Linked DNA regions of Stegostoma tigrinum. The protein of the gene in region 2 interacts with the protein of the main gene of each other region in a pairwise test. Links are inferred from orthologs where the notes say so. Each region holds a gene or a part of one and is shown on either strand. Other genes may lie near its edges.

Region 1 (7,745 bases), on a different chromosome or scaffold from region 2:
CCTGGTCGCGGCCAAACGGGTCATTCCGCTCAAGGATAGACTTCCTGTTTGTGTCACCAGCATTCTCAGTCAGGTCCACCGGCGTCGAGCCGGTGTTCTTCTCTGACCACTGCCTCCTGCTGGCCGACTGTCACTTACAGGACGACCAGCAGGCCGGCAAGGGGACGTGGAAGCTCAACACGACTCTGTTGGCCCTAGAAAACGTTGAGGAGCTTAAGAGGGAGTACGCTGGTTGGAGAACCATGAAACCCCTCTTTGAGTCTCCGGGCAACTGGTGGGAGACAGTGAAGGAGAAAATCAAGAGGTTCTTTGTCCTTAAGGGTGTTCGGAAGGCGAGAGAGAGGCGGAGAAAGCTGTTGCGACTCCAGAAAAGGATGCAGAACCTGCTCCTTCTGCAGTTGATGGGGGTCGATGTCACGGAGGACCTCCGCGAGGTGAGGGGCCAGCAAGCCTCGCTCTTCGCCGCGGAGGCCTCCAGGATAACCTTCCGGTCCAAGATCCGATCCGTGGAGCAGGACAAGATGTGCTTGCGTTTCTTCTTTCAGAAGGTGCACAAGGAGAGCTCTGTGCTTAGCTGGCTGAAGGAGGACGATGGCTCGGTGTCGTCGTCTCGGCCTGACCTTTTGAGGATCAGCAGATCCTTCTATGCCGGACTATATGACGCGAAGCCCACGGACAACACGGCCTCCAAGTCGTTCCTGTCGTCTATCACGGAGGTCTTAGACGACGGCACGAGGGACTGGCTGGACCGGCCGATATCCCTGGACGAGTTGACCAGAGCCCTCAAGTCCTTTGAGAGGAATAGAACTCCCAGGAGCGACGGCTTACCAGTCGAGCTGTATTCCGCTCTGTGGGACCTTGTCGGCCAGGACCTGCTGGAGGTGTACAATAGTGTGCTTTGGGCAGGGGAAATATGCAGGTCCATGAGGAAGGGCATCATCACCCTCATTTACAAGAGTAAGGGGGAGAGGGAAGAAATTAAGAATTGGCGTCCCATTTCACTATTGAACGTGGACTACAAAATCCTGGCCAAGGTCATAGCCAACCGGGTCAGGTCTGTCCTGGAGTCAGTGATTCACCCTGACCAAACCTGTGCTGTGCCAGGCAGGAAGATCGCTGAGAGCCTCGTGCTCATCAGGGATACGATCGCCTACGTGCAGAACAGGAGGGTGGACACCTGCCTCGTCAGCCTGGACCAGGAGAAGGCCTTCGACAGGGTCTCTCATGCTTACATGAGGGATGCCCTCTCCAAATTGGGGTTCGGTGAGGGCATCCGCATTTGGATCCGGCTGTTCTACACCAACATCATTGGCGCAGTCTCGATCAACGGGTGGGAATCGGACAGTTTTCCCATCAGATCTGGAGTCAGGCAGGGCTGCCTGATCCCTCCTGCCTTGTTCGTGTGCTGTATGGAGCCCTTCGCCGCATCCATCAGGAAGGACGTGAGCCTGAAGGGCGTGACTATCCCAGGCAGCGGAGGCCTTCAGGTCAAGACCTCCCTGTACGTGGACGACGTCGCTGCCTTCTGCAACCGATTGTCGGACGGTGAGTAGACTGTTGGACATCTGCGGCCAGTTTGAACTGGCCTCGGGTGCCAAAGTCAATAGGGGTAAGAGCGAGGCCATGTTCTTCGGGAACTGGGACAACTGCCCCTTCATCCTCTTCCCTGTCAGGACAGACTACCTGAAGGTGCTGGGTGTTTGGTTTGGTGGAGCTGGGGTGTGCACTAAGACTTGGGAGGAGCATATCACCAAACTGAAGCAGAAGCTGGGCAGGTGGACGCTCCGGTCCCTCTCCATCATGGGTAAGAACCTGGTTGTCAGGTGCGAGGGGCTTTCGGTACTGTTGTATGTGGCGCAGGCCTGGCCTATCCCCTGGACCTGCACCGCTGCGGTCACCCGGGCCAGCTTCCACTTCATTTGGGGGTCGAGAATGGACCGGGTCCGCAGGGACACCATGTACAAAGACCTGGGAAACAGGGGAAAGGACGTACCGAACACCAGCCTCGCCCTGATGGATACCTTTGTATGTGGCTGTATCAAGCTGTGCGTAGATCCTCAGTACGGAAACACGAAGTGTCACTACTTACTGAGGTTCTACCTGTCCCCGGTATTGCGAAGGATGGGCCTGGCCTCGTTGCCACGGAAAGCTCCAAGTAGTTGGACCGTCCCGTACCACCTGTCCTTCGTGGAGAAATTTTTGAAAGGAAACACCTTTGACCACAAGGCCGTCAGGCAGTGGTCAGCACGTAGTATCCTCGAGACCCTTCAGGAAAAGGAGAGGGTGGATCCCGTCGCGTGGTTCCCCACGCAGACTGCCAAAGTCGTTTGGCAGAATGCCTCATTGCCAGAACTTTCAAACAAGCACAAGGACATTGCTTGGCTGGCGGTGAGACGGGCTCTGCCAGTGAGATCCTTTATGCATGCCCTGAATCTCTGCGCCACCGCACGCTGCCCTCGAGGTGGCTGCGGGGGGGACGAGACTGTCTATCACCTCCTTCTGGAGTTGCCTATGCGCAGAAGGTCGGGAAGCGGATGCAGTGGTATTTGTTGAGGTTCGTCCCGAGCAGCTCCGTGACACGCGAATCCGTGCTCTACGGGCTGTTTCCTGGGACGCACACCGAGACCAACATCAACTGCGCCTGGAGGACCATCAATGCGGTGAAAGACGCTCTTTGGTCTACCCGCAACTTACTGGTCTGCCAGCTGAAAGAACTGACCCTGACCGAGTGTTGCAGACTGGCGCGCTCCAAGGTCCAGGACTACGTGCTGAGGGACGAGCTAAAGCTTTGGGTAGCTACTGCCAAGGCACGGTGGGGAAAGACCACCGTATGAAACCCCTCGTCCAGAATAGAAAAAAGGGCCCTATCTGGTAACTAGGCCCAGCCGGCGCCTTCCCCAACTGGTCAGGGGGCCAACAGGGACTGTGCAGGGAGACGACCGCCAGGGTATTTTCTTTGCTTTGTTTTTTTCTTTGTTTTGTGTTTTTCCTTTCGTTGGTGTACGTACCCCCTGGGTAACCCGGAGCGGCTTGCATGACTGGGTAGGTGTATAAATGTTTTACTTTTTTGTACATTCTATGAATAAAGTATATTTTTTCAAATAAATGGTGACGAAAAGTCTGAAAACGAACCTTCCAGCTCAGCGAGCAAACTCACATCCAGAAACTCAACCTGAGCTACAAATCTTCTCAACACTCGCTAGTAGATATTTCTATTGAACCTGTTTAGAGGTGTTATGACATGCCTCTTGATCAGATGAGAGTTGAACCCAAGCCTCCTGGGTCAGAGGTTAGGATACTAGCATTTCACCACAAGAGACCTCCCTATTTCATCAATAAGCAGGTTGCATGGTGGCTCAGTGGTTAGCACTGCTGCCTCACAGCACCAGGGACCCAGATCCTTTTCCAGCCCTGGGTGACTGTGTGGAGTTTGCATATTCTTCCCACGTCTATATGGGTTTCTGTCAGGTGCTCTGGTTTACTCCCATAGTCCAAAGACGTGCAAAGCAGATGGATTAACCATGCTGAATTGCCCACAGTATTCAGGGATGTTCAGCTAGGTGGATTAGCCACAGGACATGCAGGGATAGGGTATGGGTGTGGGTGGGATGCTCTTTGGAGGGTCAGTGTGGGCCTGTTGGACCAAAAGGCCTGTTCCCACACTTAGGAACTCTCCTGGCCCAGAGGCCCTGTACAACCACTGTACCGTAAGAGCCCTTAAACATTTTATAACCAACCTGTACTGAGATGTTAAAAACAAAAATAGAAATTGCTGGAAAATCTTCACAGGTCTGGCAGCATCCATGGAACGAAATCAGAGTTAACATTTTGGATTGAGTGACCCTTCCTCAGAGCTGCACTGAGGTGTTGACTCTTTGGATGCAGCTGACGACCGAGCGGCGCTGGGAAAGCTTGAGGCTTCAAATAAACCTGTTGGTATGTAATCTGGTGTCATGTCACTTCTGTCCTTCCGATGCAGAGTCACTGGACTCGAAAAGTTAACTCTGAAACTTTCCACAAATGTAAGTCATTTCTGCTGATTTTCTCCAGGAAATTCTGTTTTTGTTTCATAATACCGCACAGAAATATTTCAGATGTCCAGCTCTTTCAGTCATATTACTGAACAGAAATTTATTAGCCCATAACCCACGTCTCCTGGCCTAGAGCGAAGGACATTGCCACTACTCCACAAGAGCTTGCCCTCGAGTTTGGAAAATATATGTTGATACTACGAGATTACTACACGATTCTGATGTCGGCGGGATTTGAACTCGAAACTCCTGGATCACAGGTAAAGATTCTTGCAACACGCCACCAAACCAAAAGGGGTGGGGCGCCAAGGCGGCAGCAGCTCTTCAGCTCCTGCTGTCGGCCGGTGGCGCTCTCGTTCGAGGTTTTTCGGCTTCCATGTTGCCACGTTCGATGGGCGCGGGGGGCGAGGCGGAGCATCCCGCTGGGAAGCCAATAGCAAAAAGAGCCTGACGGGAGACCTACGATCGATTGGTGGAGGGGGCTGTCGATCAGCCTGCGGCCACGCTTTCCCCACCCCCCCTTCCACGGCTGCGGAGGGATTTGGTCTTGGGGGTCAGGTGAGGACTAACGGCCGCGAGAGCGAGTTTTGTGTGTATGTGTGAGAGAGACGCAGAGTTGCCCGGCTGTCGCCGCATCCTTCTCTATCTGCTGGCACGTTTTGAACGAGTGAACCATGACTTCGAAGAACAAGACAGCTAACAGCCGTTCTAACCCGTCAGGATCCAGGAAAGGTGAGGGGGATGGGTTTGACGGCCGGGCCTGGGAGGGGGCGAGAGGAGGTCCTGCCGCTGCTCGGCGCGGGGCTGCCGGATCCGGTATTCACCCCCACCCGCTATGGGAAAAAGACGAAGGAAAGTTGGAGCTTTTACCCCCCATCCCTCCTCTGGAATGGGTTTCCCGCTGCTGTACCCCTTTTTTTCCTACCCGACCCACTTACCCCCCTCGCCCATCTCCCACCGCTAACGTACTGTCAAATGCTCCTTGCTCTGGTTTGCTGGGTGTGTAAGACAGGGTCCGCCCCATGTCCGTGTGATCATTGCTTTTCATGCAGCGTTTGTGCTGTCTTTCGGATCGATTATATGCTACTTCTTTTCAAAGGTCATTGATACATCTCAGCTCTGCTTTTATATCCGTGTTTCATTTATCAACATTTGTGGTCTTTCTTTTTAAAACTGGATGTTAGAGAAGATACGTGGTTCCACTTGCATAATTGTTAATTCTTTCAGTTTCTCCTTTTGTAGAAACTGAAGTTATAACCCATCCTGAACTATATAGGAGCAGCTGGGTTTGCCCGATTCCCTTATACAGCCTGCACATTTATCTACTTTTCTTTCTAGATAATTAGGAATTGGACAGTTACATAGCCCGTGTAAGGCCATTAGAAATATTAACAGTGGACCCTCAAGCCTTCTCTACTGTTCAGTTGGATCATAGCTGATCCAACACCCCTGCCCTACTTTCCTGCCTTTTCCCTATGATTCCCTAACTGATCAAGAATCTGTTTAACTCAGCCTTAATTTGATTTGAATTTATTGGTGTCATATGGCTCTAAGTACAGTGAAAAGTCTTGCTTTGCGAACAGTATGGACAGATCATAGCAAACAAGGACATACAGATCATAGAGTGCTTAGAGCAAAGCATACAAGGTTACAGCTGCACAGGAGATTTGAAGTTAGTCTGTTTAGCAGCCTAATAACAGCAGGGAAGAAGCTGTTCTTGAACATGCTGGTGCATGTGTTCAAGCTTCTGTATCTTTTCCCTGATGGAAGAGAGTTGTAGGATCTTCAGACCTGTAGATTTAAAATATACACAACGACTCTGTCCCCTCAGTGCTCTGTGACAAGGAGTTCCAAAGACACTCAGCCCTCGAGAGAACAAATTCCTCTAATCCCAGTCTTAAATTGGAACCTTGTTATTCTGAGATCTGAGCCAATCCTGAGCCCTCTGGCCCTGGACTCCCTCATGAGAGAAAGTATGCTGTCAGCATTTACCATGTCAAGACCCTTAAGAATTGTATATGTTCCAATGAGGTCACCTCATTTTTCTAAGCAGTTCCAACCTGTTTAACTACATACTCAACAATTTTGAGTCTAACCATTGGCTACATTTAAAAACAAAATGGTTTTTCTTCTGTCACTCTGATTCTTTTGCTATTCATCTTGTATTGATGCCTTCTGGTTCTTGATCTTTTGCAAATAGAATGTTTCTCTATCCACTGCATCCAGATTCCTCAGGATTGAACAACAGTCAAAACTCAAAGCAATCTTTTTGAAGAACAACCAATGAGTCTGCCATCTGTTTGCATGACTAGTTTCTTATCCTTGGAAACAATCTCTTGTCTGCACCTTGTCTAAGGTCTTCGTACCTTTCTTCAGGGAGATGTCAGCTTTGTCGACACAAATTCACTTGAGGCTGAATCAGTGCTTTTAAAAAAGCTTTTCATAACTAGAACACCCCTAGCATAGCATAATCCAAGTCTGCCACTCTGTTGGGACTGAGTACCTGCAGACTTTGATTCCTTTTGTCCAGAATGGAAGGAATAGCTGGAGAGCCATAGGTGGGTGTTGAGTGCTGCACAGTGTGATTTGCCTTGTGTGTTGATCTTGATTATATTGTGCTTATTTTTTGTGATCTTTATACCTATTTATAAGCAATTCCCATTTATATCACTTTTATATAATTGTAATATGTAGTTGTAACAGTTGGAAATGCCTGTTGTTCACTGGAAAAGGACATGGGTGTAGTTACAATGCAGTGTGGAGCTGGAGGAACACAGCAGGTCAGGCAGCATCAGAGGAGTAGGAAAGTTGATGTTTCGGGTCGGGACCCTTCTTCAGAACTGTTCTGAAGAAGGGTCCTGACCCGAAACGTCAACTTTCCTACTCCTCTGATGCTGCCTGACCTGCTGTGTTCCTCCAGCTCCACATTGCGTTGTCTCTGACTGCAGCATCTGCAGTTATTGCTATCTCTTGGTGTCGTTTCGTCTGGGTTTATAGTATGTGTAGTTTATATAGTAATGTTGAGACATTTCAGTGTGATTCAGAAATTGTTTACAAATCATGGGTGTTGCTTGATTTTAAACAACTCGTCGATATTTTTGAAGGCAAAAGTTTATTGCATAGGCAATGAGGAAACTCAGACTTTGAATGTGAATGTTGAAAAGTGTTACATGTATTCTGTTCAAATGCTGCAATTCCTGTGTGGAGAACTGGCTGCTGAGTGGGGGTGCTTAAGGATGTTGTTGACCTGAATTTTCAGAAAGCTTTAGATATATGGTTTGATTAATGAAAATGAGAACTTCTAAAACTAAAGAGACCTATGGGACATAATTTAAAAATTGTGAAAGGATATGAAATTGGACTGGAAAGTTGACGGAAATGTATGAATTGAAATGTGATTAGTCCTTTTATCAGTGAAATGTATGTGAGCTGTATTCTGTATTTTATAAAATGGTATATTGCAGAGAAGGAAGCAGAAAGTGACAGATTGTCGCTAATTGGAACTGAATGTGGGGAAGGCAGAGGTTTAGACCGAAGGAGAATAAGTCAGAATATTTTGTGAATTGGAAGAAATTGGTTCAGCAGAGACTGGTATACAAATTATTATGTAAGCAGACACAAGCAAAACCAATCAGCAGTTCTTTGTTTTATTACAATTACATTGTTGACATTTAGCTGTGTGGTTGGAATTGCGTGAGTAAGTTGGGGCTGACT
Region 2 (7,901 bases):
TGAGTCCCTAAATATTGCTATGACAGTGCCAACGGTAATTTTGAAAGTGTAATTTTTCCGGTAAAAGTTATAGCCAGATATAGCCATACTAGTTTTGGTTTGAAAAATCTTCTTGTAGTTGTACAACTTGCTGACTGTGATAAGATGGTCAGATTTAATTATGCTAATACCGAGCTAATATTATTATCACTCATCCACAAATCACTCAGCCAAAAACTGAACATTTATTCCAGAACAGAATTTCTGGAAATGTGAAAAGGACTTTTAAGCTCTGAAGCTAAATTATTCAGGAATGTAATTTTCGCCAAAATTTCTAGAAATGCTGTTAATAGCCTGAACATACTGAATTGTACTCCAAGTAAGTCTATGAAGGAATATTTTGGCTGAAGATTAAAAATATTAAGTGAGACAGCATTCTACCATCAACCAAAAGGTTGACCCAAAGAATTGAAAATAAAAAAATCATTCCCTCACATACACCAATTCTCTCAATGAAATCAGAATTGGAATCAAGCAGCCTTCCTGCACAAGACTTTCAGAGACATTTTTAACCTTCAACGAATGAGGTCACCCGCTACAGAAGCTACTTTACGTTCTCATTTGCTCCAAAATCAGCCACGATACTGTTGCTCACTCTCACGTGAGTTCCTAGAGACTGACACTGCTTATAAAATCATTCAGCAGTGCTTCTGTGAAAATAAAAGTGAGCACTGCACTTACACTTCTGTTCAAAGTGGCTGTGACTCCCAAGCTGAAATGAGGTTATGCTGCGTCAGTTGGGCACTGAATTTGGACATACTCCAAAACAACAAAATAGATGCACACTTAATTGTAGCACTGATATTCTGATGTTATTTTTCTCTTCCCACCCTCTCCAGCATCATGCTAACAAGGATTTGGATGACACTAGGGAAACATACATTCCTTATTATTTTTACAAAAGCTTTTGAGTCATTAAATGAAGTACTAGTGCTGGAGAACGGTACAATTTACATTTCAGGAAATTAGTGTCAGCATCAAATGCTCCCCGATCCAGTGTTAGGAATGTGTGACCAATAAGGTATTTTTCAGTCTGGATCAATTGTAGGTCAAACATCAGAAGATTGATGATATCTCTCCGTTTCTTACACCAGAGTCAGATTGCAATTAATATCTTGTAGAACTGGATTGAGACTGTCTGAATTATTTCTCATATGATTCTTAACATATGCAATGGAAAGAAGATATGTTTTCCCCATCAGTACGGGCCAGACCCCAATAAGCTCATCACTAGAGTATTGTATAGAGATAAATTTTAGGAAGTCTTGTCCAAGTACTCATATTTCTCCTGAATCTATGGGGCTACGTGAACAAGGATATCAAACATGCACTTTTACAACCAGAAGAGTGGTGAATTTCTTTTTCTGATTAAGTAAAATAAGCTGAGTAAATCTCTCAAAGATCACTTAAAGGAACTGTCAGATTGCTACAAAGATACTCGAAATCCATGGTGTAACATTCTCAATTTAATCATGATGCCAAAGGTAATGGAAGCAGCTTTCAAGAGAAAAGCAGTTATGTGCTACTATACCGGCAATTAAAACTTTTATGTTTTATTTAAACCATCAGGAAGCTTTACCAAGTTGTGAATGTTGGGGTAATGGGGATATTGTCAGAGGCCCCCTTTCAGCAAATACTTAAGGCAATCTGACAAAGCAGTACAGTTGCATTCTTAATATTAGAACAAGAACCTGCAGCACGGAATCTCACTCAGTGTTTCCAAATAGTGACAGAAAGTGAGATAATAGCATTTATACATGCACATACACAAAATTACTAAAAGCTGGTGCACCAGGACAAAAGAAGAAATGGAAAGCCTAACACAGTGTTTGACTTTACATTATTCAGAAGTGAGTAAATGTTGAGGGTAGATCAAACTTGGCTTCCATATCCTTGAAGGTTGACCGGTAATCAACTGTGGGCTTTAACATGGGATTCACTAAAACTGATATAAACAATTGTTTATATTGAGGACATTAGGCCAAGAGGACAATTCTCAGCCATACAGCTGTGGTTGCTCAGTCATCAAGTTCACTTATTGGTGATAAATGGATTTTTGAATAAAGGAATTAAAAACTATTAGGGCAGCGTAGGTCAGTTGCAATCTTGTAGAATTACAAAGCAGACTTCAGCATTTATTTTTTACACTGTCCAAACTCATTATCTTTGTATTTAGTAATGTTAATTTAAATGTAAATGGTGAATTAAGAAATTTAGCATCCTTAGCAAGAAAAAAGGATTCTTGCTTCAGACTAAACCTTCGCCAGACTGAGAACAATTGTGAAATTTTGAAAATCGCTTCGAAAGTCTTATGATTGAATTGGAGTAAGTAAAGATCAAATTTAAACATGAAACATTAATTAATAAAACAATTCCAGAAATGCACAGGTCAGCCAATATCTCAAAAGAAAGAAAATGTGTGTATGTTTCAAAACATCTTTGATTTTGGTATCTTTGCTGTGGTGTACAATCCCAGAATTGGAGTCAAGACTGAATCAATGACTCCAGTGTCCAAGTAGAAAGCCCAGGATCACATTAAAACCTCTTCTACAACTTGTCCTGCCATTTTCAGAGTTTTGAATCTGCAAATCCCGAATTCTACTTTTCCTACAAAGCCACAAAAATGGGCCCTTAATTTACAGTGCCTTTGCTTATTCATTAAGCAGGTTTAATATTTAATCTCATGAGACAGCATAGAACCAGTCTAGAAATATATTAAGTCATTGTAAGGAAGCTCAAAGTCTTGAATGCGTGACCCAAGAGAGGGAAGCACTATTCACTGGATAACAGGTTGCACAAGACACCAATCCATCAATCCTCAGTTCTGACGGCAGTCACATGTGTAAATCAATAGCCTTTGCCTTTTTAAGATGATGACAGGGCCCTGTATTTTCAGCATTTGCGGCTTTCATTTCAAATATACAGTTTTTACCTGAGTTTCTTTTTAAAAAAGCAGAAATTGAGCACTTAGGATTTATAATGTTCAGGGAGCAATCACAAAGCTGAGTATGTTTTTGTTTTAACACAGTGTGAAGCTGGGTGAACACAGCAGGCCAAGCAGCAGAGGAACAGGAAAGTTGTGTGTTTCGGGTCAGGACTCTTCTTTAGAAACTGGGGAGGGGAAGGGGATTCTGAAATAAATAGGGGGAGAGGAGGTGCATAGAAGATGGATAAAGGAAAGATAAGGTGAGAGGAGACAGACAGGTCAAAGAGGCAGGGTTAGAGCCAGTGAAGGTGAATGAATGTAGATGGGGAGTGAGGGAGGGGATAGGTCAGTTCAGGGAAGACAGACAGGTCAAGGAGGCGGGGTGAAGTTAATGGGTAGATGTCCCACCCCATTTCCTACCTACTAGCCTCATCCTGCCCATCTTTCCTGAACTGACCTATCCCCTCCCTCACTCCCCACCTACATTGACCTTCACTGGCTCTAACCCCACCTCTTTGACCTGAGTCTCCTCTCACCTTATCTTCTCCTTTATCCATCTTCTATTCGTCTCTCCCTATTTATTTCAGAATCCCCTTCCCCTCCCCAATTTCTGAAGAAGGGTCCTGACCTGAAATGCAAAACTTTCCTGTTCCTCTGATGATGCTTGGCCTGCTGTGTTCACCCAGCCTCAGTAAGTGTTATCTCAGATTCTCCAGCACTGGCAGTTCCTACTATCTCTGTATACAAATTTTCAAAAAAATCATCCCACATCACTCTCATAGCCAGTGAATTAAGGAATCAATCTGTAAATTCAGGCAAGAGGCAGCATACTTTTGTGTAAAATACGTATTGCCCCTAACATTGTTGAATGATGGAAGGGTCAATCAACATATTCAGGCAAGAAAATAAGTTGCACTGTTTTGTAAAATAAAGAACTGTACATATTGCACTTAACATAATTATGGAAGGAACCAATTTGTAAATTTAAGCGAGTGTGGGGGGGGCAGTCATTATGATTTTTCTTTTGCAAAATAACCGTATGTATTGCCTCTAACATTGTTGAATGAAGGAAATAATTGACCTGTAAACTTAGCATTATTTTGTAAAAGACTACAGGTATTGCTCTTAATACTGCCGAAGGAAGGAAGGAAGAAATCAATCTGCAAACGCAGGCTGACCAGGTAGCATTACTTTGTAAAAGACTGTACATATTGCCTCTAACAATGTCGAATGAAGGAATCAATCTGTATTTTCTGTTAAGACAGTGGATAACATTTTTTGGTGATTTGTGGGGGGGGGGGGGGGGGGCAGTGAACTAACGGCATCTTCCACCAACTCCCCCGCCCTGCTCATTAACCAGGAGGCAAACTGAGAGCAAAATCTCTCGCTCTTACAATATTCAGCACGCTTTTCTTCCTGTCGCTCTGGGCCTCAGCACTTTGCTCCTGGCCAGCGGCCACACTCCTCTTGCCTCCATTGTCTATGTCCCCGCCGCTCGGCACGGCTCCCCCTTCACTCCTCAGCTTCTCCTCTTCCATCTTCTTCTTGAAGAGCGCCATGAAGCTGCCATCGTTGGCGAAAGCGTTCACCCCTTTGCTCTCCGAGGTGCCGTCCGCTTCGCTCGGCTCGGAGCTTCCAGAAACTTCGCGGCTCCTCCGCCTCTCCGCCATCTTGCGGGAACGAGGGGCCGCTGAGGCTTCTGGGGCAGAGGTAGAGGATGGGAAGCTGAAGGACAACTGCCTGAACAAATCAGCACCTCAAAACAAAAACAAACCACTAGCTCAATAAGACAAGTGCCAAGGCCAACCGATTATCTTTCCAATCGCGATGGAGTTGGGGAGATGCCTGACATCTTCGCTGGCCGACAACTGCGCATGACCGCACTTCAACGGTCCCGAAAATTTCCCGCCCCCGCTGGTTAAAAAAAAATAGATGTTAACGATAAAGATGCGTAACATTTTAAACTTGATGACCAGGAAACGTACAGGCGCCAGTTTTAAAAGAAGATATTAATTCAAATATTACAGCCGAGCCAATCGCGCCGCGTTTTACTGAAGCGGCGCTGTACCAATCAGTGTTGAAGATGGAGGCCGGTAGGACGGGGGTTACGTGGAGTTTTGGGGCGCGGAATGTCACGAATGTGAAGAAAAATTCCTCCGGTCCTTTCGTGTCTTTTGATAACGCTAAAATAGCCCGCCTATTATGTCAGCGTGTAATTATTTAAAAATTAACGACAAATAAATTAAGAAGTTCGGGGTCGGGGGGGTTCTTTCCCTCAATCGATTCACAGTCACGTGGTAACACCGAGATGGCGGCGGCAGCGGTGATGGACGAGGAGTTCGAGGATGCTATAGACGTGGAGCCCCTGGAACCCACCCTGTGCAATATCATCGAGCAGAAGTCCCTCAAATGGATCTTTGTGGGTGGGAAAGGAGGCGTGGGCAAAACCACGTGCAGGTATTAACGAGGAGAGAGCACCTTTACCAACTAACTTCAGCATTTTTAGATGTTTTCTGTATCAGTCTGTGCAGAGCTGCCTCTGGAGTAGTTGGGACTTGAGCACGGGTCTCCGGACTCAGCGATACTCCCACAATGCCATAAGAGCCCGAAATCCAGCGGTTTGTGTCTGTTATGCATCTCCCTCTGATCTTTTCGCTGGGGAGTGCTCGCAAGGAGGTGTGCGGTGAGCGCACTCGATGGCCACGTTAACGTGAAATATGAAGTCGGCAGGTGTTCCATGGCACGGCGCCCGAGTTAAATTTTGTAGAGCCATTGATTGGAAACAAGTTGAAAACTATGTTAGTCTTTTGAGGATTAGCCAGGGAAGTACTAAGCAGAGACGTGAGGATGCTGAAGGTCTGAAACAAAAATAGAAATTGTTGAAGAAACGCAACAAGTCTGGCAGTAGCTGTGGAGAGAAAGTAGAGTTAAAGTTTCAAGGCCAGTGACCTTTTAAACAAAGGAAATTTGCACACGCACGTTGTGGTGTGTACAGTTAAATTGGAGCTTTGGTCACGTGGACTTAGTGCCCTGCAAACTATTTTTTTGCTTTTGAGGTTAGAGATTAGATTCCCCACAGTGTGGAAACAGGCCCTTTTAACACAACAAATCCGCACCGCCCCTTGAAGCATACCACCTCTAACACACACACACACACACAGCCCTGAGCACTACGGGCAATTTAGCATAGCTGATCCACCTAGCCTGCAGACTTTTGGACTGTGAGAGGAAATTGGAGCACCCAGAGGAAACCCACGCAGACACAGGGAGAATGTGCAGACTCCACACGGGCAGTCGCCTGAGGCTGGAATTGAGCCTGGGTCCCTGGCTCTGTGAGGCTGCAGTGCTAACCACTGAGCCACCGTGCTGCCCCAAATACCGATAACAGGTCTCTCTCTCTTTCCTCCTCCTCCTCCTTCTCCTTCTTCTTCTTCTTCTTCTTCTTCTTCTTCTTCTTCTTCCCCCCCCCCCCCCCCACAACAGAGTAACTGCTTCCAATTAAACAAGAAAATTCCAAATCCTCCTTTAATGGTCTTCCATTCAACAAATGTTTATAGGGTAGGCCATTGGGTTTAAAAATAATGTAAGCATAAAATATTTGTTATTAAAAGTAAGCTAAATTCAACTGGTGAATGAGATAGCAAAAGGAATGCCATGTTGAGTGGAAATTACAAACCAATACACTTTCCCCACACTGCATGTGTATGTGTGTGTCAGTATAACTTTTACTTTTTTTCATTTGTGGCAAATGCAGCAGAAGAAAGCTCTCCCCCCTCCCCTTGTACCAACTCCACCATTCAACCAGATTATGGTTGATCTTTTACATCGGTACTACTTTTCTTGCACTATCCTCAAACCTTTTATGATCTTGAATTGAAAATGAAGAATAGGAGTGGGTTTAGATCAGACACCTGTTTGTGCTTTCTCAACCTTTCAAAGTAAATACGGTCAATCTTCTGTGTTCACTCAACTATGTGATAATCTGTCAATCTCAGTCTTGAATATTGTCAAGGGGACTCTGACATGTTGAATTTTTTTAAAAAATCAATTTTTCTTCAAGTGAAGAGACTTCTCCATCAAAAATGGTTGGCTCTCTATTGGGAGGTTATGCCACCCAGTTCTTGACTTTCCATCCATAGATTGCAGAATCTTTACAGCAAAGAAGGAAGTCATTCCTCCATCATGGTTACATTAGTTATCTGAAGGACTAATTCACCTACTGCTGCACTCTTCCACCCCACCTATTGTCCTTTAGCCCCGCACATTCTTCCTTTCTCAGATAATCCGATTGACCTTTGGTATATCTTGATTGAATCTCCCTTCACCACATTAGGGTAGTACACTCAGGTCCCTGTCACTTGCTATTAATGAGGCACAACCTCAGTATCCAATATGTTTAGTCCTGTGAATAAATTTTAACGAGATTATCTCAACTAAATACCAAAGCATTATTGGCTTGTTCTTCTCCAATCGTTCACGTGAGGCAACCTGCATTTCAGGAATCGGTTTACTAAGCTTTACTTCATTGAAAGCAAAATGGGCCCTTCAATAAGCACAGTTACCAAAACTGTATAAAGTGCTCTTGGTATGCTCTTTCCAGATCCCTTGAAAATTGCAGCAAAACACTTTTGTAAAAGTAAAATTCAGTGGATGCTGGAGAAATTCAGCAGGTCTGGTAACATCTGTGGAGTGAGGAATTGGCCTCTGTGTATCAAAACCAATTAATTGTCCTGCAGAAGAGTCACATTGAGCTAGAAATGTTAATGGTTTCTCTCACCACGGATGCTGCCACATTTGTTGAGTTTCTTTGGTATTTTCTGTTTTTAATATCCTTTTTTCTTATACTGCCTTGCATTTATCATTCAATGTCCATGCCTTCCACATTGCTGAAAGTTGAGTCCAAATTTAATGCCATTCAATAGGGCATACTACTGGA
Region 3 (7,456 bases), on a different chromosome or scaffold from region 2:
CTCCTGTAAAGAAATTGATTCATTAAAATGCACATATCTCCAATTACGATAGACTTCATTGGGACCTGATTAAAGGATTCAGATGAAAGGTTTGACTGTAATTTTGCATTGTGTACTGTTTAAATGTTAATGTTAAGAACTTTTTATTGCAAGGCTATTGTAGATACTTGAATGTTGGGATATATCAATTTCAGCAAACATGATCTCTTGCATTAGATTTGTTCAAGAATGTGCATGGTGCTAAATATGCTATCATTACTAATAAACGTCCTGGCTGGTCAGATACATTCAAAATCCATTTGATGAAAAGACTGGCAACATTTCAGGTTTCAAGGTCAAATGACTTGAATGCTAATTCATGCCACACAAGCAGAGTGGTGAAAGGAACGAGGCACTTTTTTCTGGGCTTTTGCTGACTCATGAGATGTAATGGTGAAGAGTTGGTGCTCCGATGTGAGATGAAATGAATTTGCTAACCTGACGAACAGTTTTTTTTGTAATAGGTGCAACAGGGTTGTAAGGTCTTCATGGAAGGGAAAATCAGTACACACATCCCTATTGTTGGTTCAAGTGAGAGACAAAACATCTGTGGATTCCCTATTTTGGAGTGCACCATGTTCCTTTTGTTTCTATCTTGGGGATATGCCCCACAAAATAGCAAATCTTTGCTTGGTTAGATATCTCCAAGCTTCTGGTCAGAACAGTTTTTATTGAGCTTTTGGAGAGGTATGTGTTGATGAGCAGATGACTCTTCAATTTCAAATTTTGTTAGTGTAGCTGAGGTCAGTTGTCAGTGCAGTTGGTGAAAGTTGACAGAGTCTAAGCAATTCAGGAGCTTTTTGGATGACAAGGATAATATGCCTTAAGAGTGCAATGAACATGTCCAGTTGACGAACTTTAAAAACACTCTTCATAGAACTCGCTGTTGTGATCTTGTTCTTTTCTGTAATGGGTACTGTTTGTCAAAGCCAACCTGGATTGTAACCTGTACTAACAAGGTGTAGAGCTGAATGAACACAAGCAGCATCAGAGGAGCAGGAAAGCTGATGTTTTGGGTCTGGACCCTTCTTCAGAAAGCTACTCTGCTGCTTGGCCTGCTGTGTTTATTGAGCTGTGCACCTTGTTATCTCAGATTCTCCAGCAACGGCAGTTCCCACTGTCCCCTGTAATCTGTACTGCCACCTATTGGAGTGATGAGCTTTGACTGCAAGTTCCAGCTTGCTCCATTAGAACCTGTGCAGCAGGTTAAGAATTGCAGAAAAATAGCTTCTGTTGATGGGATAACCTTTTGGTCAAGCTAGGTGGCAGTGCATTATGTGGAAATGTAACCATCAAACTGCAAAATTAATCATATAAGCTACAATCTATATTTTTGCATCACATGTTTGTTATGTGAAGCTTTCTATTTTTAATTTTTAAAATGGAGTAGCTTTGACAAGAACTATCCTTATTTTTCCAATCACTAGTCATTCTCTGAAGGGTTCTCTGATCAGTCTTTCTGTTATGACTGCATTTAGGATATTTTAGAACCTGGTTTAATTCAGTCCAACAGCCCTATCCAGCTAGTTTTTAGGCATTTCAGTTTTACACTAATTTAAAAAATTGATTGTTGTTTAACTCAGTTTAGAGTTGTAAGAATGTAGCTCGATGTCTGTGGTTGTCAACAAAACATTAGCACCTAGCACATTGACAATGAAATCAGCATCCCAGGTTTGGCAATCTCTGGCAGTAATCTGGTCTTTATCACCATTTGAATGGTGACATGACTGCACTCTTAACTGGGGGATTCCCAGTAGACAGTTGTATTGATTTCTTCAGTGTACTGGGGGTTTCTCTTGCAGATTATCAAGAAACAAAAAACAAAATTTTTACAGAATTTATTTTGAAAGTACTTGCATAAGACTTAAGGTAGAATATAAAAGATTCTGATTGATCTTTTTCTCCTGAAATGAAATTACATTGAAATATAACAGTACCTCACAATCTCTTCTCATGGCTAGTTTTGTTCATCAAACTTTAATTGTTTGAAACTCATTTACATCTGGTTGAATCTTGATCATGGAAGGGATATGACTTAGTCTTTCACTTTTTAGAATCTAATTCGCATTTATTGTGATTTTTAACAGTTTGGTCATGAGATGTGGGCATTGTTGGCTGGCTAGCTTTTATTGACCATTTTTAGTCTCCTTGGAGAGAACCTGTCAGGTCTATCTGCTGCCCTTGATCTTCTAGAAAGAAGCAGTCATGGATTTGAAAGGTGGTTTGAAGGTTCTTGGTTGAATTTCTGCACTACAGCTTGGTAGATGGTATACACTACTGATATTGAGGGTCAGTGATGAAGGGACTGGATGCTTGTGGGTATGGTGCCAATCAAGTAAGCTTCTTGGCTTTAATGTCATGTACCTTCATTGTTGTTGTAGCTGCAATCATCTAGGCAAGTAAAGAGCATTCCAGCAAACTCCTTATTTGTGCCTTGTGGATGGATGGGCTTTGGGGAGTCAGGTGATGGATTACTCATTGCAGAATTCCTAGCCTCTTCTGCCTTCATTGCCACAAATTTATGATTTTCCAGTTCAGTTTCTGATCACCAAGGATGTTGATCATGGGAGATTTAGTGATCATAACTTGATTGAATGTCAGAGGATGAGGTTAGATTCTCTTTTTTGGAGATGATCATTGCCTGCCGTTTATATGGTGCAAAAATTTTGGTCACACTCGCCTGGATATTATCCAGATCTTGTTGCATTTGGACATGGAATATTTCAGTATTTTGAGTTGCAAATGGTGCTGAATAAGGTGCATTTGTTGGTGAATGTCCCCAGCAGCTGCAGATCATTAGGTCCAGAGCACTATCTTGAGGCACTCGGGCCTCTTAACAAGCAGTGGTGATGCCTCGAACCTGGGCCTCTGGCTCAGAGGTAAAGTCCCACATGTTCCAGAGGTGTGTAATAGCATCTCTAATCAGATTGATCAGAAAATACCTATCCTAAGCAGCTTTCCTTCCCACATAAATTTGGGTCACCACTCCTGAAGTGAGCCTTCCCTGTGATTGTTAGCCCAAACATTTGTTCCTTGTGTAAGCTTTGCTCTGTAGATGTGAGTACCAACCTGAGGGGCAAAACCTAACCAACTCCACCACAGCCCTCTGAGTGGGTGCCTATACTCTGTCCTTGCATGCCACAATTAATCTTTATTCTAATTCTAAAATCTCTTGACCTGCAATCAGCTTGAAAGCTACAGTCTGGTTGGCTTGCATCAAAGACAGTTCTACGTTTAAGACTTGTCTGGTGCAAAATTCCTTAACCCTGTACATTATTAACTGCACGTGGTTCCAAAGGTATTGACACTTAAGAGAATAGAGACCTTCCTAGAGTAGTGTTTTTAAGGTGTTGAGAAAACAGCAGGGTTCTTTTAAAGCAAGTCTCAAAGAGCAAGAGTTTTCAGTAATGTTGGGGCAGTTCCTATTATGTTTTAAGAGTTCATTAAGTCTGCCAAAGTCAATATTATTTGCCTCAGCAATAACAACGCTCACGAATCTTTACCCTCTCTGTGACACAAGTAACTGGGGATGGGTTCGAAGAAAAATGCTAGCTAGCCAGCGATGCCCACATTACACAAATGAAATAAATTTTTTTAAAAAATCAGTGCGTCATATTTCTTTTACCACAGATACAGCCCTTTATACCTACTCCCCTCCACGAAGGGCGAAAAAAAAAAGTTGAGGGTCTTTAAAAACTTGGATCCGCTCTAGCTTAACTCAATAGTGTTAAGATGAGAAGACCCAGGTGTCTACTAGAGAAGGAAGAGATTTAGGATTTATACACACCTTGCTTCTAGCTTGCTCCGCTGGCTGGAACAACGTTAACAGTTTCCCCCAGCCCCCTTCAAGGCGGCAGCACATCGTGGAGCTGGAGCAGTGATAATGGGAACTGCAGATGCTGGAGAATTCCTAGATAATAAAATGTGAGGCTGGATGAACACAACAGGCCAAGCAGCATCTCAGGAGCACAAAAGCTGACGTTTCGGGCCTAGACCCTTCATCAGAGAGGGTTCTGGAAAAACCAGAACCCTCACCCCATCCCCCTCTCTGATGAAGAGTCTAGGCCCGAAACGTCAGCTTTTTGTGCTCCTGAGATGCTGCTTGGCCTGCTGTGTTCATCCAGCCTCACATTTTGATGTCTTGGATTCCCTATATTCTAGACGTGTTAGATTTCCAGCGGCTGCAGCACCGCCTCTTTCAACCCGACCTCCGCTGTGATTTTGAAGATGACTGGAGCCCGCGTTCTTTGAGCGGCGAAGGACGCCGTAGTCGTGACGTCGGCGCGCCGCGCATAAGCCGCTCGCCCTTTGACCTTTGGCTGCGGATAGCAATGGCGGACGGCGAGGTGCCCAAGTGCTGCAGGAACCGGGGCGGAGTCCAGCGGGTCGAGAGCAAGCTCCGGGCGAGTGTCGAGAAGGGCGATTACTATGAGGCGCACCAGATGTACCGGACGCTCTTCTTCCGGTGAGTTTGTCGGTGTGGAGACGGGGAGGAACATGGCCACGTTTGGGAGAGAGAGACGGTGTACGCGGCTCCGCCGGGCGAATCCTCCGTTCTCCTCCTCCTGCCCGATCCCTCTCCTCGAGCGTCGGCACCTTCCAGATCATTCTTTTTCCGCGAGCCCCACTCAACCTAACCTGCTGGCAAAGGCTGCGGATCCGCCTATGCTCCGGCCTCTTCCCCAGTCGATTGGTCGCTGATTGTCGACCAGCCATTGTGACGCGAACCGCGTGATTGGTTAACTGTCCTATCGATCAAGAGACTGATAGCATTCTGAATTGACGCGGGGGCGTTGGTGGGAGGCTGAGCAGCAAGAGTGCAGACTTTCGAGGAATTTATGGAGGTTGGTTGGTTGGATGGAAAACAAAAACTGCAATTCAGAAGATGTCCAGTAGCAATACAGTGCAATGTAAAAAGAGCTGATAAGTGACGGAACAAACGATTAGCCCAGAAGCGTAAGTGGGAAAAATAATCGTCACAGCTTGGAAGTTCTGTGGATCCTGGAAATAAAGAGAGAAAATGATGTATATATTCAGGTCAGGCACATCCAAGGAGAGAAAAAGTAAATGTTGATAGCCTTGCATTAGAACTGGAAAAGTTTTTAGAATTGTTTTGTGTTTTAGGTAGGTACAGCAAGAGTGAAAGGGTGACTAAGTGACAAAAGGATGCAACAGTGCAAAGTCAAAGGAGATTGCAGCTGGTATGACTGAAGGACCAAAGCCTAGTTCAGTGGATATGTAAATGGCGTATCAACATGACCATCAGTTTTTATACAAAAACAAAAAATATCAATTCTAAAAACTCAAAATAAAATCAGAAAATTTTGCCAATATTCAATTGGTCATCCAGCACCCAAACAAAAGAGAAGGATATTAGTGTACCTGTTGACCTTTCACCAGAACACTTCATTCAGAATATTCTGATGTTAGTTCACAGGCCTGTATTGTTAACTCTTTCTCTCACCACTAATTCATATGACTTGCTGAATATTTTTCTGGCACTTTTTCTGTTATTATGTTGCCATCACCGCTATTTGAAAACAACTGGGGTCAGAAATTGTGAAGTGAAATTACGAAACTTAGTGTTGATTCCAAAAAATTAGAATTAAAAGTTTCTAATCAGAAGGTGAGATGTTTTTCCTCATGTTTTAGTTGACCGTCATCGGAATAATATTGGAGGCCAAGGACATATCTGTCAGTGTGAATGGGTGGAGAACTGACAATGTAATTGGAAGCTTAGCGATCACATTTGCGCACTGATGGTGGTGTTCTGCAAAGTGGTCACCCACTCAGTGTAGAGGGCACCACATTGTGGGCAGATAATATAGTGTACTAAATTGAAAGAAATAAGTAAGTTACGACTGGCATTGGAATACTGGATAATGAGAAGGAAAAAGGAAAGCTTTTGTTTCTCCTTTCCTCACATGGATATGTGTTGTTGGAAGGAGAGGGGGTGATTGGAAAGTGTACCAGGTTCTGGTGGAGGCGATTATCTATTAAGCTAGCAGAAAGGGTGGATGGGCACCTTGTGCGTTTGATGGCGATATCATGCTTGAGCTAGTGAAATGGAAGATGATGCATTTAATTTTAAAATTTATGAGGAAAGTGAGGTTGAGGAGAATTCTCATGCAATTCTGGAGAGATCCAAATAAGAACCGAAGAGCAAGAAATTGAGGATATGCCATTAAGAAACCTGCAAAACAAACTGGAGAGGAATTGTTGGGTAAAGGGATTTAAATCATCCATGGTATGTTGAGCAGATTTAATGATAAGTTTGAGAGACTGGACAATGAGTGGGAAAGATAGAGTTGCAATAAGAAGAAATCGGTTCCACAAAGCAAAGAGACGCTGAAATGATGGATCTGCCAAAACAATTGCATTTGTGGATGAGGAATGAGGTAGAAATGCCAAATGGGTTTCGGGAGCAATGAGGTTGGCAATTTTCTTCTACTGCTTCGAGAAGAGATGGGGTCAGTAGTTGTTTGATAATGGGATGACACCCAGTGGAGTAGAATGAAATGTCAGAGAGCTGAAATTAAGCCAGTTCAAGAGATGACAACAGACTAGTCGGACCGGCCTTGTCCTCTGTTGTTTAATCCTGTGAGCCACAGGCCGTTCCTTGGGATACTATTTCAATGACAAAATGAAAGGAATTTAATCTCCAAAAAGTTTAATTTTAATTTAAGACAGAAAAGTAACAGGCCATATTTCAGTCAATGTTTTGATTCATTTGATTCAAGCTGACATTCCAAAAAGAATGAAAATTTAAGGGAAAAAACCAGTTAGGCACATAGGTACCTCTGGGCTTTGAATAGAAGCTTGTAGTACAAAAGCAAGGAAGGTATGGTGAACCTTTTGCAAAACACTGGTTTGGCCTAGACTGGAGAATTGTGCCGAGTTTGATGCATTACATTTTAAAAAACATATGAAGACATTAGAGAGGCTGCTGAAAAGATTTTCAAGACTGCTTCCAGGCCTTCAATTAGTTGCGTAAGCTAAAGAAGCTGAGATTATTCTTCTTGGAGAAGACAAGGTTAAAAGTTGTTACAGTAGGTTCAAGGTCATGAGTAGATAGAACTGTCCCTGTTGGCAGAAGTGTCAAAAACCAGAAGCAATCAGTGACAAAAGAACCAAAGCAACATGAGGATAAGCTTACTTACGCAAACACGGAATGCACGGCCTGAGATAATGATCTAGACAGATTCTGTTCTGGCTTTCAAAGTGGACTTAGAATCACATCATTTTCTTTTCTCTTTAGAAAATTGTTTATGATATAATTTTGCTGTAATGTGCCTCCTACCCCAAGATCTTTGCACTCCATCAGTGCATCCTTTTATTTCTTTCTTCTTCCCCATTTCATCTATACACATTAGCTATCCTGCTATAAATTGTAGTAAATTCCATATTATTGTTCTTT
Region 4 (7,272 bases), on a different chromosome or scaffold from region 2:
AAAATCGGCTTTAGAAATTCAATCAAAGTAAACACTCTGTAAAAACAAAACAAAATACATCTTGGTGCTATTGTTCTCATAGATTTGACTGTATGAAACCAGAACAAAAGCTCTATAAAAATGAAGCATGTTGTTATGGCTGTACGAACAATCCAAATTATATCAAATATGTGCAGCATATCAAATATGTGCAGCAGCAAGCCACTTAGTCCAAGTAATCCATGCTGCTGCTTATTATTTCATGAGGTGAAGATGCTGCCGGTTTTACCCATCCCTAATTGCAGTTGAGAAAATGGAAGGGAACTGACTTCTTGAACCACTGTTCATGTGGTGTAGGGACACCCACAGTGCTGTATGAACAGAGTTCCAGTATTTTGATTCACTGATAATGCAGAAACTGCAACATAGTTCCAAATCAGGATAGTGTTTAGCTTGGCAGAATACTTGCATATCTAAATGTCCCCATTCATCTGCTGCCTTTGTCCTTCCAGGTGGTAAGGTTGGCATGTTCAAGTGTGCTGTTGAAGAAAGTTTGGTGAGTTGCTGCAGCACATCTTGGAGATGGTACACACCACTGTCACTATATGTCAGTGTTGATGGAAGTGAATATTGAAGGTGAGAGTTAAAGTGCCCCTCAAATGAGCTACTTTGTCCTGGATGGTGTCAAGTTTCTTGAGTATCTTGAAGATGCTTTCATTCAGGAAAAGGGAGATTATTCCATTACATTCCTGAATAGTGCCTTGTGGATGGTGACCAGACTTTGGGGAGACCGGAAGTGATTTTTTTTGCCACAATTCTCAACCACTGACATGCTCTTGTAGCCACAGTATTTATGTAGATGGTGCAATTCGGTTTCTGGTCGATGATAAGCCCCGGAAATTTGATCATGAGATTCAGTGACAGTAATATTGTTGACTTGCGAAAGTAGATGACAGGATTCTTACCTGTTGAAAATGGACACTGCCTGGCACTTATCTGGTGTAAGTGATACTTGTCACTTATCATTCCAAGCCAAAAAGTTGTCCAGATCTTACTACATATGGGTTCAGAACATTTCCTATTTGAGGAGTTGCAAATGGTGCTGAGAACTGTGCGGTCATCAATGAACATTCCTTACTTTCTACCTTATAACGGAAGGTGAGTCATTGATTAAGTTGTTTAGGCATAACTCGTTACCCTGAGGAACTCCTGCAGTTATATCCTGGAGTCAGGTAATTGACCTCCAAAATCCACAATTTTGCTCGTTATCATTCCAACCAGAGAGTTTTTTTCCCCCAGTTGGTATCGAATTAATGTTTGTGAAGGCTCCTAGATGCTAAACTCAAACCAGTACTGTCTTGATGTCAAGTACAGTAATTCTCACCTTACGTCTTGAGTTCAGCTCTTTTGTACATGTTTGGGTCAAGGTGGCAATAAGGTTAGAATCTGAATAGCTCTGACAGAAATCATACTGAATGATGTTGAGCATTTTATTGCTGTATAAATGCTGCATGATAACACTGCCAACAACACTTCACTGATGATTGAGGGTAGACTAATGGAGTAGTAATTGGCAGGGTTTAGTTTGTCCTGCTTTTTGTGGAAAGGACACACCTGGACAATTTCTGACAGCTGTACTGGAGTAGTTTGGCTTGGGCCACAACTAGTTCTGGAGCACAAGTTTTCAGTACTACTGCCAAATTGTCAAGCCCATTACTTTTGCCCCAGATAGTGTTTTTAGTTGTTCCTTGGTATCATATGAAATGAAGTAAATTGATTGAAGACTGGCATCTGTGATGCTGATGACCTGAGAAGGAGGCCAAAGTGGATCATCCACATGACACTACTGGCTGAAGATGGTTACAAATGCTTTAGCCCTGTCTTTAGCATTGATTTGCTGGGCTTCCCTACCATTGAGGATGGGGATCTTTTTGGAGACTGATCGCCCAATTCATTGTTCATATATCTACTGCTATTCATGACTATATGTGACAGTAGGACGGCAGAGTGGCTCAGTGGTTAGCACTGCTGCGTCAGTGCCAGGGATCCGGGTTTGATTCCACCCTCAGGTGACTGTCTGTGTGGAGTTTGCACATTCTCCCTGTGTCTGTGTGGGTTTCCTCTGGGTGCTCTGGTTTCCTCCCACAGTCCAAAGATGTGCAGACTAGGTGGATTGGTGATGATAATTTGCCTGTAGTGTTCAGGGATAGGTGGATTATGGGGAATGGGTCTGGGTGGGGATGTTCTGAGGGTCAGTGTGGACTTGTTGGACTGAAAGGCCTGCTCCACACTGTAGGGATTCTGTGAATACTGCAGAATTTTGATTTGATTTGTTAGCTGTGGGATCAGTTAACCCTGTCTATTGCACGCTGCTTATAATGTTGACGGTGCAAGTAGTCCTGTGCTGTTGTTTCACTAGGTTAGCAGCTCAGTGTTAAATTTGTGTGGTGCTGCTCCTGGCAAGCCCTCTTGCACACTTCATTGATGTTGTTCTCCTCTTGATGGTAATGGTTGAGTAAGGGAAATGCCAGGTTATAGATTGTGGTTGAATACATGACCAGGCTGTTGTTCTTGTCAGAGAGGACATTGCATACCTTCAGGATGTTTCACAACTTGTGTTTGGATCATATTGTTTATTCATCACCAAAGCTGACTACCTTTTTAACTTATAGCAAAACACTGTTTAATAGTGGGCAAGTTGGGGGTGTTGAGAATAAAATTCAATATCCAGTATATTGCTTAATTATTCGTAATATGATGAAGACACACTTTTTTGAGGATTCATGTTTAAAAGATTGTGGACAGTTATTCATTTGGAGTTCTGGAAAAATACTTTCTCTTTAAAATGGTTATCACTAAAATGACATTGGATCATTTTATTTCAAGACTTAGAATTTGCATGGCTTAATCGAATTGCTTGGACTTATTTACTGATAATCAAATAGGTTTATGGACATCAGTAGTTTTGTTTGGATATTGTTTAGAGTTCAGTAGGTATACAGCCTATGCAGCTTGTCCTCTCACCTGAGGAAATCTTGTTGGAGGGTCCAGTGTGTGATGATAGAAACACTGATTTAGCTGTTCTCCTGAAAAATCCTCTGCATCATCAACAATCCCTAAATAGCATGCATCTGCAAAGTTCCCTGTTCTGACTATATTTGACAGAATACACACTGAAAGCTGTTGTGTCCGTTTCATACCTTATCCCTTTTCCTTCGAAATTAAGAATTATTGGTCAAATTTGATTTCAAAATTAACCACTGCCAAGAACGTTTTTGTTTTTAATTTTTGTTTGTATGGATTGTATTTAGAAGGGTAAATATTTGTAGTTTCCTTTTGAAAACGTATGTTAATCAGCTTTACATCTTTGAATATGATCTTTCACAGTAAATGAAAAATATTGACCCTCTCTGATGAAGGGTCTAGGCCCGAAACGTCAGCTTTTGTGCTCCTGAGATGCTGCTTGGCCTGCTGTGTTCATCCAGCTTCACACTTTATTATCTTGGATTCTCCAGCATCTGCAGTTCCCATTATCTCTGATCAAGAATATTGTTGTTTATTTAATAAACCTTTTTTTAAATTCTATTCAGATTGAACGTATAAACCATTTCAGAACTCACTGAAGTAGAATCAAGTCATCTCAAACCTGAGGGACTACCTAAAAATTGATAGTACTGAAATCTTTATTTATCAATGTAAAAGTTCCCTTTACTTTATGATGCTCTTCTATTAGTTATGTCCATTTACAAGGGGCCATTTATGTTGGTTTCATTCGGCGACATTAGTATTAGTCTGTATTGGACAAGAAAAAGCACACGTTTTGAGAAGTTGGAGCATATTATCCCCAGGAAGTGGGATTCACGGCTAGGAATGACAGTTCGGCCGTCACGATATTCTTATCTGCTGAAATTAAAAGCTATGAGTACTTGAGATTTAACAAATATGTTCAAGTGCTAAGCAGACAAAAGGTGAGCTAAACCTTATTCCGAATCCAGGAGATGTGACTCGACTTGTCCGACATTGATGATTCTTTCAGAACGGTGGATGGATCAAAAACAACTAATTGAAAAGTGAATGATTCTTCTGGGCGACCGTTAAATCTTTGGAGTTCATTACGACTGTTTTGCAGCACCGCCTTACGTCAGGTACGAATGGCTGATCTGTGTGGGAGACGATTGGGAACGAGCCCTGTTGCGGTATCAGAGCCAGTCAGAAATGCAGCAGTCAGCCCAGAAACAGCAGGCGCCAAGCAGAGCTGTTTCTTTCTCACAACTCAGCACCCGTTTGCTGTTCATAGTCATGTCACTCGCAGCGATCATAGCTCTGCTGTTATTCGTCTGGCCAACCGAAGAGAAAAACAAAGATTTTTACTCATTTAAAAGTGTGAACATTAGAGGGAAGCTAATTTCACTGGAGAAGTACAGAGGATCGGTAAGTTTGACAACTCCACCCTATCACTAACCGATCACGGAATTAGGACTGTGCAAACTCATGAAGCCTCCAGCTTTACCCAACTAACACACGTGAATGCGGAGCCCACATCCTATTCCCTACTTGACTGTGATTGAAACAATGGAATTTGCTGCCCTTTAATCTGTAATTCATGGGGAATCATGGGGGACCCTTTGAGCAGAATTGTATACGTGGCATCGTAATAAAGTAGTTCAACTATTCTCTCTAAACGTATTTGCTCACTGGTGTATCGTTTTTCCAAATACTGTACGGCTACGAAAAACAGTTCTACTTGAAGTAAGCAAGCCAGTTCATTCATTGTTGTTTAAGTTAACTTTAGGTTAACAGCCTATTCTACATCAGACGTTAGGACCATCAACTGCAAAACTTATCCTATATGAACCAATGCAACACAAAACCAATATACAGCAAATGATGGAAATTGGAAATAAAACTACAAACATGCAGGAATTACTTAGGTGTACCTAAGAAACGAGTTAATTTTCGTGTCTGTGAACTTTAGAACTTTCATCCTGCCTGTAGTATTTGATGCAACTATTCATTGAGTTCACCTCCTGTAGTTTCCCCAGTCATGTAGTATTTTCCCCTGGTGTTTGTGTAGTGTTCTTTTATATTTTCAATTTTTTAAAAAGATGTTGCACTTAATATGCTCTGCAACCCTTTCAGACAATGCTTTCAAGACCAGAATAATTCATTCATAAAACACCCACAGTGTGGAAGCGGGCTATTCAGCCCATCAAGTCACACCAACCCTCCAAACAGCATCCCACCCTATCCCTGTAACCCTGCACTTCCTTTAGCTAATCCATCTAGCCTGCATAGCCATAGACACTATATATGCAATTTAGTATGGCCAATCCACCTAACCTGCAGATTTTTTGGACTGAAGGGAGAAACCCACACAGAAAGTCACTCGAGGATGAAATCAAACCTGGGTCCTTAGAACTGTGAGACAGCAGTACTAACCACTGAGCCACCATTCCGGCACTCTGCATAAGGTTTCCTCAGGGCACCTGTTTAATGTGCTAATCAGCTTAAATCTTTGTCCTTTGCTTTCCAACCCTTCCTCCACTGTTCCTTACTTGGTAAAAGTCCTTCAGGAGTGTAAACCTCTCTACTGATTTCTCCATCATCTCTTCGGTACCGCAGCATCTGTGGAAAGAGAAACAGAATTAACGTATCAATGGCAGTATAACTCTTTTGGCTAAGATTGTTCAGGTAGCTAGTCGAGGAGTTCAACCTGGCAATGACTACAAGGGTGGCTAAGGCTGCCCCGGTATCATTAGAGGTTCAATATCGATAGAGGAAATCAGACCTTGAGGCCAAATCTAATTAGAGGCTTGTTGGTATGCATTCCCACAGTGCTTCAGAGGAAGGAAGCAGGACTCCTGGTTTGATTTACTTGCGGATGAGTTAGAGGCTGAACAGTTTCTGAGAAGGACTGAAAACGCCCAGTGATTTGGTGATCGAGGACTGAATTGAGGATATTCAGTTTGTTGTGGCATCCAGAGGCCTTGTCACAAGTGAGATGGCAACATTCACAATGGAACATTAGCACAGAAAAACCCATTGGCAAATACTGGGAAGAGGTTCACATGTTCAAAGAAGTGTGTAGTGGATCTTTGAGTGCAGAGACCAGTAGTGTTGAGGGCAGTAATAGCCTGCGCAATAGTAGTGCTTTCATGATTTATAAGCACATCGAAGGAGAGGACCCAGACTGCATATCCTCAGAGGTAGTGAAATGGGTCAGTCATGTAGTCCTCCTGGCTGTCTTCTCCAAATTGCCTTAGGGACAAGCAGTTGAAGGACTGCTTAGCAAAATTTGTGAGTGATGGGAATTTGCAGGTAGAGTTAAGGAAGCATAGTGGTGACAAGCCTGTAATGTCCTGTGAAGTGCAGGATTATGTCATTCAGATATTTGAAAAGATTGAAGGAGAGAGGCTGCCATTGAGGAAGTGACTATTGGTGCAGAAGGGGATAAAAACCTCAGGCTGTAAGCATAAAATGTAAGCAGAACAAATTGCTGCATAGCACCTACAGATTCAAATCTTGCTGCCCTGACTCTATGGTAAGTCAATGGCCAGTCTTGCACAAGGGCCATTCCCAAGTGGTGTTGGAGTTGTGATGGGACTTGACATTTCAAACAAGACTGCCATCAGGCATCGACTCATCATTCAGTGCAATGGTCTTCCCTTCTCATCAAACATTAAACGATTTAGGCCTTCCATCAAAAGCCAGTCTGAAAGCATTGGGGAGCAGTGGGTGTGTTGAAGTGGCATTCTTTCAGGTAAGGTAAGGTTCTTTCAAGTAGAGCCTCATTACATGCAGAGTGATAAACTTCCCCCACAGCAAGCATGAAATTTGGCAAGTAGAAGTCTCATGCCTAATTGATACAGGAGCAGAAGAATCAATTGTAACTAATTTTCCTGAGACCCTCTTACTGTGAAGTACTGAGTATTGAACATCACGTCTGGGTCTCTGCTTCACAGGAGAAACCATTGTCTTCTTGGTTGCAATAGGCTCAGTCTCATTTTGCATAGCTTGGTTATCTAGTAACTCATGACCCCACCGATACTCCATTTGGTGTACAAAAGTTGACACTACTCATGGTATTAGTCCAATGTGTTAAAAGATATAAGGTCCTCAGAGCGTGTCTATAATGACTGGCATGAGCAACACATTGGTGTTTGCAGGTGGGGCTCCAAGATCTTTGACCTTGCTCCATCCAATTAAGGTCTATCTGCTAGTGTGGGACATTTGATCTATTCATGTGGCAAAGAATTGTGTTCTTTTACTGACTCTGAGGCTCTTGAAGGCTCA

What was found.
Region 1: the proteins of get3 (region 2) and unm_hu7910 interact in binary tests that used the Homo sapiens proteins (3 or more experiments, as listed by UniProt). The two-hybrid records come from large-scale screens. The link is inferred for Stegostoma tigrinum from reciprocal best matches to the Homo sapiens genes GET3 and ASPH.
Region 3: the proteins of get3 (region 2) and get4 interact in binary tests that used the Homo sapiens proteins (3 or more experiments, as listed by UniProt). The link is inferred for Stegostoma tigrinum from reciprocal best matches to the Homo sapiens genes GET3 and GET4.
Region 4: the proteins of get3 (region 2) and gpx7 interact in binary tests that used the Homo sapiens proteins (3 or more experiments, as listed by UniProt). The two-hybrid records come from large-scale screens. The link is inferred for Stegostoma tigrinum from reciprocal best matches to the Homo sapiens genes GET3 and GPX7.

Annotation. Positions count from the first base shown.
Region 1 is NC_081358.1:34,176,493-34,184,237, forward strand, and holds the start of unm_hu7910 (aspartyl/asparaginyl beta-hydroxylase), read left to right. Parts: upstream 1-4,528; 5' UTR 4,529-4,705; coding exon 4,706-4,763; intron 4,764-7,745.
Region 2 is NC_081388.1:16,863,296-16,871,196, forward strand, and holds the start of get3 (ATPase GET3), read left to right. Parts: upstream 1-4,679; 5' UTR 4,680-5,273; coding exon 5,274-5,422; intron 5,423-7,901. Other genes in the region: trir (telomerase RNA component interacting RNase), read right to left, coding at 4,360-4,635.
Region 3 is NC_081376.1:37,652,366-37,659,821, forward strand, and holds the start of get4 (Golgi to ER traffic protein 4 homolog), read left to right. Parts: upstream 1-4,325; 5' UTR 4,326-4,370; coding exon 4,371-4,504; intron 4,505-7,456. UniProt on the Homo sapiens protein: As part of a cytosolic protein quality control complex, the BAG6/BAT3 complex, maintains misfolded and hydrophobic patches-containing proteins in a soluble state and participates in their proper delivery to the endoplasmic reticulum or alternatively can promote their sorting to the proteasome where they undergo degradation.
Region 4 is NC_081361.1:64,431,383-64,438,654, forward strand, and holds the start of gpx7 (glutathione peroxidase 7), read left to right. Parts: upstream 1-3,988; 5' UTR 3,989-4,194; coding exon 4,195-4,410; intron 4,411-7,272. UniProt on the Homo sapiens protein: It protects esophageal epithelia from hydrogen peroxide-induced oxidative stress. It suppresses acidic bile acid-induced reactive oxygen species (ROS) and protects against oxidative DNA damage and double-strand breaks.